Xenopus tropicalis: one gene and its partner. The protein of the gene in region 2 purifies or fractionates together with the protein of the main gene of each other region. This does not show direct contact. Links are inferred from orthologs where the notes say so. Each region holds a gene or a part of one and is shown on either strand. Other genes may lie near its edges.

Region 1 (3,826 bases), on a different chromosome or scaffold from region 2:
AATAAATTGCTAGGTATTAATTAATGATAGCATCCTTTTAAAGTAACATCATATTGCTTACTGTTAATGAACCAAGACTGTGCATGTCTTCACTACACAGCATGTAACAGTATACATACAATATTGCATGGAACATTAAAAAAACCTACTACTACACTTTTCCATGTGTTTGTATGAGGTCATAATGTTCATATAAAAAATCATTCACTAAGAGATCCATAGAATATATTATTTCCTTTAAAACTGCCTTCTCTATAGGATAACTCTAGAAAACAGTTACAAAGTGAACTGCTGTGTTGATAAATAAATAAATGCATCTATTGAAAACGCAACAGAATCTATTTCTCACCATCCATATGTTTTCTCTGGTTTTGGAATAGGATCATCAAAGAAAGAATCTCCTTCAAGATAATCTTCATCCAATTCTGTTTTTCTCTCTTCATTATCAAAGGATAACTTGTTTAGATTGAAATCTGATTTGGCTTCAAAGGTTAATATGTGGTTTTCAAGCTTCTGTTTGGACTCTCTAGAGAAGAGAGTATTTTTTTCAATCCGATCATCAGTCTGCTGAATTAGAACAGACAATGAGAGCATACACTGTAGGACCTGTACAAAAACTGCAAGTGTGCTAATAATTGAAGCAGGAATGTTTTTATCAAACTTTGTGTAGCATGTAGTTTAAGATGGTAAACTGTACAGAATTGTTTAGACATGAAACACACCCGGCCCTTTACTATTCTTACACAGACTTTTATACATGCCTAGAAACACGAAGTGGAGGCCACAAGGGCTACAACAACCTTACTTCATACCTGTAATCCCTACCAGTCAGTATTAATGTCAAACTTAAGATGGGGTGTATAGATTACCAAATAAGCTTCTCACACTGAACTTTGCAACAGCACTATACTGGGTCCAAGTTGGTATCAACCCAACTAACTTGCACTAGCTTGATGACATAAGGGTGTCCACAGATAAAATGGCTATGCGCCATTTTAGGTGCAACTTTGCTTTCACAAAGGGTAGTTATTCTGGCTGCCCAACTATGGGGTTGCTGCCTAAAATGGCTCTGTGCTGCTTCGGGAGCAGAAGATCCAATGATAGGGTTAGAAACCTGCCCTATTTAAAAAAACACACACAGCGAGTGGCATTTAAATATTGACATACCTGATTATAATTTGCTTGTAAATTTGCCTTTCCTTCTAATGACCTCCGTGGGGAATGTATAATATCAGGAACATCATGTGTTACCTGCATTACAAACATAAATCTACTTAGAAGGTTTTTCAAATAAAAGCATGGTGAGTGAGTTGGTGTCTTCCATAAGTGGCATCTAGGACTGAAAAACATGTACATGCTGCACCAAACAATAATGAACTTTCTTTTAACATACTTACAACACTTCTACAATGGATGAACAAACGCTTGTACATCCCAATGAATTCGTGGAAATTAATACCTACAAACAGAAAACATAATTATCATGAATGGACAAAAATATATTATTTTTTAATGTTAATTCCAGACTTCATGTCCTAGCAGTTCTAAATAGTTGTGTTTAAAATTGTCCTGAAGCAAACAGGTAAATCTCTGAATACAAAGAAGCATACCAAAATATGGCTGATTAGGCTACAACCATGCTAAACCTAAATGCAAATTATCATTTTTCTCTTCTTGTGTGTCCAACTTAGGGATAATAGGTAGTGGTGATGGTGGGGTTTTTTATAGTACAAAACATCTTTCCACCACCTACTATCAAGGCTCTGAGTTGGACATTCAAATATTGAAGGACAGTTGGACTATATTGACAGCTGATAAATCCAGTGTTTTCCTGGTATCCTGGTGGGCCCTCCTGCTCCTAACCATTTGGCCTATGGCCATGGTCATTCCCTATTTTTGAATGGGAACAAAGTGCAGAAACAGTAGGAAGAATAGATAATAGCATGTTAATAGAAAAGACTAAGAGAATAAAGAGGTTGAGTGAGGAAAGGGGGGGAAAATAGTTTGGAGAGTTGGGTTTCTGGTGGGCCTCTGGAGTCCCAGTCCGACACTGTATAAATCATTACTTTTTGGTGACTATTCTCTTTACCTATTATAGTACATAAAAGGGGCTGCAAACTGCAAGACTGGTTAGTACACCCTAATATCCATCCTGTAGGGACAGTGAGTGCTAAGTGTAAGTGCTGCTTTAAAAGGGTGAAATATATAACATGCTGTCAAGAACAGCTTTTTAACGCATTTGTCTAAATGTAAAGCAGAATTCAAAATTAGATTTCCGACTGTTTAACTTTGCTTCTGAAAGTACTTCAAAATGCTTGCAGATTATGTCTTGATAATAGAGGGCAATGTTGTATTTATCAAATCCACTTACACTCTCCTGCCACAATAAACCTTATATAATAATAATAATATACAAAAAACTGGCCTTGAAGCATGAACTGAAATTAAAGGATTCCCCTGCATCAATAACAAAAAAAAATTGAGGTTAGAATACATACAATTCTTAATTTTCAACCTATAAACATACCATTATTGAAATCCTTATCTGCAGCTTTAAATTCATCAGTCACGTACCTTTCCAACATGCTTCTGTAAAAAAAATTCTGTTTAATTTATCTTGAACTCAAAAATTGATAAATCTGCCACCCCTTGGATGTAAGTTCAAAAGCATGAAACAGGAGTACTCAAGGGACTTATAAAATAAATAGCAAACTTAAGAGCTCTAGATGCTGCAGAGGTCAAGAAACAAATTATAAAAGATAGCCACAAGATGGTATTACACTCCCTCCAAATGGACATGTCCACTTACTCAGCCTTGATGGGAGAATGTTAGATAAGCAATATACCATAAACTTTGAAATACCCAATGAATGTTCTGCTATTCTATATAGAAAAAAAATGCTTTCTACTTTCACAAAGTCACTAGAACTGCACTTGTTGAATGCGTTTAAAATATTAATACTGCAATGATGGAAACAAACCGTAACGCCAACATTGCAAGATTGGTATAGAAAAAATACACCAATTTTAAGAGTTCTCTCTTTCCTCACCAGAACAGTATAACACTTACAGTACTACATGGTTTCACTGGCTTTCCTTTAAAAGAAAAAATCTGATTTTTTTTTATAAACAATCAATAATTAATGTCAGTACATTAATTAAGGAAAAGAGTTAGGGAGAGAAAAGAGGGATAAAAAGGAGTGGGGAAGAAAGGAAGGAGAAAAAGAAAGGAAAAGAGGGGGGAGGACAGGTACCCCTCCTCTTATAACATTGTATAATTGATCATATGCTTATTACATGACACAGACTCCTGCAATGTTCATTCTATCTGACTTTATTTGTTACTCTGTTTTCTTTATATTTGAACATCAATAAAAATCATAATAAAATAAATAAATAGGAAAAAATAGAGTATCTTTGCTCTGTATATTTTAAGAAAGGTTCTCTGGGTAGTGCAGACTTACCTAAAGGGATACTGTTATGATTTTTACGGTATACTTTTTATTTCTAATATACACTGTTTACATTGCAAATAATTCACTCTACCATTTAAAATGTTATTCTTGAACCAACAAATGTTTTTTCTTTTAGCTGTAATATTGGTGTCTAGCCAGCCATCTAAGTGCATTGTGCCCGATTCGGAGCTTTCAGACAGAGACAGCACTACACACTGGACTGGAACTGCCAACTAAGGCCCCCCCACCCCGCGTGCATGTGCATCTATGTCCTTTTAACTCACATACAGAGAAATGGTGTGAGGACGCACTGAAGTTTTCTGCGCAACCGGTCCCTGTTGCTCCTTATGCGAGCAATGGGGGGGGGGGGG
Region 2 (3,826 bases):
GTACCTATCTGGTTGCTAGGGTCCAATTTACCGTAGCAACAAGGCAGTGGTTTGAAAAGTGGAAGATGAATAAGAGCAGGCTTGAACAGAAAAATACGTAATAAAAAGTAACAATAACAATAAATTTGTAACCACGTGGAGCATAGTGACCCCTATTTGAAAGTGTGAAAGACAGGAAAGAAGTATCTTCTGAAGATGTATCATCTGAATGTTTTTAAATGTTTTTTTCTTTTCTCTGTAATAATAAAACAGTACCTTTTACATGATCCCAGCTATAAAGGCCCCTTTTCAAAAAAACCCAGGTCCTGAGAATTCTGGAAAACAGGTCCCATACCTGTATTATGTTCTAGTCTAGTGCATGCTAGATGCTTAATTGGAAAATAGTGTAGTTTGCAGTCTAGTTACTAATTTACCCTTTGTCATATTACATTGTAAATGGATTTAAAGAGAACTAGTTGCTTTGCATATGAATGTACCAGAAGGTGTTTCATGGCTTTTGTGTATTATATAGATATAATTAGGTTTGATTATGTTTAGAGCCAGATATACCTGAGATCTGTATAACTGTCGGATTAATATTCTGTTCCTAGATTAAACATTGATTATTGCATTGCTACATCAAATGATAGCTGACATATATCTTTAGGGCTGCATATTAATTGTCATGAAATAAAGAAACATGCCAGCATTTTGGATTAAACAAGGTTTTTTTTCGTATTTTTCAGTCAGAAAAAGTGAGCAGGAAATGAAAGAAGAAGAAATGTCCCTCTTTACAAATTATTATACAGAATGGAAAGGAGGTGGGAAGGTCTCAAGTGCCCAGAATATCCCTCGTTTCTATTATAGGGTAAGCATCATAGTTACAAGGAGTTTGTGATCTTAACAAGTTGAATCATTTGTATGTATATATTGGACCCAATATTAACTCTTTGAATTGTATTTCCCTAATTCTGTATATTCTATACAGGCTTAATTATCAGTCACTGAGCAGAACTGAAGTTCAGAAAGTACCCAAGACATTGGGGGAGGGGTGAAATACAGTAAAGTTCAGTATTGGAATGATTTTGGTTCAAGGCCTACTTGTTTCCATAGATATTTATGAAAGGACAGTGAGGGTGAAATTTCAGGTGACCGTACAATGCATAAAGTACTTCATGTAGATCTGTTTTCTTTCTCACACAGCTCCCTGCAGAAGATGAAGTACTCCAGCAGAAACTAAGGGAAGAATCCCGGGCTGTATTTTTACAAAGGAAAAGCCGTGAGCTCTTAGACAATGAGGAGTTACAGGTAGGACAGACTAATCTTATTGCTTCTGTTCTTCATTATTTGCTTTTGTTTTGAGTCATTATTTTAGCAATACAATATTCTATGCATATATGTTAAAGTTCTCATTTTCCTTCCAAAGAATCTCTGGTTTCTTCTGGACAAGCACCAGTCTCCGCCTTTAATTGGAGAGGAAGCCATGATCAACTACACAAACTTCCAGACTGTTGGCGAAAAAGCTGGAGAAAAATGCAAGTAAGTCTCGGCAGTCATGGCAGGGTATAGATTGCCTTCTTGGTACAATGTAAATAATATGGGGTGATGTTAAATATACATTTGGAAAGGGTCCAGCAGACTTGGCACCCTGGAGCTGCACTCAAATGTCTTGGTAGATTTTAAAGTAGCAAACAGCAAAGGAAAATGCCTGCATAAAGTACTAGAGAGACCTGTGTGATCATATTGTACAAATGCACCCAATCTAATGTGGCATGTCTTGGAGACAGAAAATTGAACCTGCTTGTCTTATTTTACATGATCTCCTCTGGGGGTTAGCACTTTGCTGAAAAGCAGAATAATTAATTATAGTGCAATGCAATATCAGAAAGTAAAATCATCTATTTTTTTCTGTTTTTTCTCATTTCAGGACATTTTTTACCTCTAAAGTGTTTAGCAAGCTTATACCCAACGATCCCTATGGCAGAATATCCATAATGCAGTTTTTCAACTATGTCATGAGGAAAGGTAAGCTAAAGAGCCACTTGCTGTATCATTGTACTGTTGCATTACATTTCGCAGATTACTACAGATAGCATATAACTTCTTTTTTGTAGTGTGGCTGCACCAGACGAGGATAGGTTTAAGCTTGTATGATGTGGCTGGCCAAGGCTACCTTAGAGAGTCTGTAAGTATTTTATTTTAATAGTTTTTTACAACACAATTTATCTTCACTCACAGTTTGAGATTTGTTCCTTGTTCTATGAAATCGCAAAAAGGGTGCCCATGTCTAACAGGTACTGAGATGCCAAGTTTCTATTCTCCTGTGTACACTTTCCCTGTGTGGTTTGCAGTTCTTATATACACTATCATTCTTTGAAATCCTGGCACACAGACACATCTCCATCCTTTTTTTTTTTTCTAGTTTTTTAATTTTTTATGGCATCTATCCTGCCCGTGGGAACTGTAGACTTTTGTGGAAGCTATTACTCTGGCCAAATAGCTGTTTAAATAGCCTCCAAGGAGTCCAGTAGCAATGTCCAGTTTGACCAACTCTCTGCTGCCTGACAATACAAGCAGAGTTAAACTGCCAGTTTGCAAACACTGATTACAAAAGTAAATTGGGTCAGAGCTATGGAGTCATTTAGAGGCAAACTCCTGGACAGGAGCTATGAAGGGGAGCTGGAGTGGTTCCCTTGGGCCCATTATCTGGAGAGCCAGCAGGCAGGAGTTTGTGGCACATCACGCAACATCTAACACAAAACATAACTTATGGTGATACTTTTTTACAGTGTTATCAAAACCAGAATTCCATATCCCCCAACTCTATTTTTTTGGTCCTCCAGGACAATGATTGGATCAGGTTGGAGTCCCTTGCGTACTTGTAATTTCTATGTATAAAAAGTGTTGTAATTTCTACATGGTGAAACTGAAATGTATGCAAATAACTTTAGATTAAAGTCTGAATTGTTTGCTTTAAAATTCGCACTGAGGAGAAAAATGTGTTTTTGTCCCAAACATAATGGAGGGTGTCCAGGTTTCAAAAGTCAGCTTGTTTCCAGCTGCTCCTTTTACAGCACAAGTGCATTTCTCTCTTTTTACATTCTGCATACTGTGTAGTGTCCAATCAGTGGTGGGCCTAGGGTTGGGGGCACCCAAGGCAAATGCCCCCACGGCAAATGCCCCCACCTGCTCTTCTCCTAGGATCACATAAGGTGGCGCGCACTGTCTTTTGTCTGTCTTTCCCCCCCCCCCGCGCATGTCAAATCCTGGTTTACATGCAGAATCAGAACTTCAGACTGGCCGAAAGTAGGGGCCGTTAAGCCAAGATTTACATGCCCAGTGCCCTTGCAGTTGCACCCTAGGCACGTGCCTCTTCTGCCTACCTACTTCTGGCCCTGTGTCCAATGTAGATATACAAGCGGGTTTAATAACTGTGTGCCAGTTCTGTGTTCACAATGGTATCAATAGTGTAAATGAGGGGCGCTACAACTGACTGTGTGCCCTATATATCTTCCATTAAGATTAGGATACTCAGTGCCATGACAGTTATGGGTCAGTTTATGCTTCTGAACATTCTGCCTTAGAATGCGAAAGCACGGGGAGGGTAGCCAGTAATATTACATATATGGACAGTACATATATCACCTTTCATTGTAGCTCAGGCATATTGGGCAGTTAATCTTTGGTTTAACACTTATTGTACAGCGCTGCAGAATATGTTGGCGCTCAATATATAAATGTTAATAATAAGAACTCTGTTTTATAGGACTTGGAAAATTACATTCTTGAATTGATTCCGACATTACCCCAACTGGATGGTTTGGAAAAGTCTTTCTATTCTTTCTAT

Evidence for each region.
Region 1: the proteins of ppp2r3c (region 2) and fgfr1op purify together in Homo sapiens (affinity purification with mass spectrometry; 3 studies listed by BioGRID and IntAct, counting the BioPlex papers as one, with this or other methods). This does not show direct contact. The link is inferred for Xenopus tropicalis from reciprocal best matches to the Homo sapiens genes PPP2R3C and CEP43.

What each region holds. Positions count from the first base shown.
Region 1 is NC_030681.2:56,938,044-56,941,869, forward strand, and holds part of fgfr1op (FGFR1 oncogene partner), read right to left. Parts: intron 2,590-3,826; coding exon 2,528-2,589; intron 1,460-2,527; coding exon 1,398-1,459; intron 1,252-1,397; coding exon 1,168-1,251; intron 568-1,167; coding exon of another isoform or gene 565-567; coding exon 350-564; intron 1-349. UniProt on the Homo sapiens protein: Required for anchoring microtubules to the centrosomes. Required for ciliation.
Region 2 is NC_030684.2:109,432,039-109,435,864, reverse strand, and holds part of ppp2r3c (serine/threonine-protein phosphatase 2A regulatory subunit B'' subunit gamma), read left to right. Parts: intron 1-725; coding exon 726-847; intron 848-1,182; coding exon 1,183-1,287; intron 1,288-1,405; coding exon 1,406-1,518; intron 1,519-1,906; coding exon 1,907-2,004; intron 2,005-2,093; coding exon 2,094-2,164; intron 2,165-3,745; coding exon 3,746-3,826. UniProt on the Homo sapiens protein: May regulate MCM3AP phosphorylation through phosphatase recruitment. May act as a negative regulator of ABCB1 expression and function through the dephosphorylation of ABCB1 by TFPI2/PPP2R3C complex.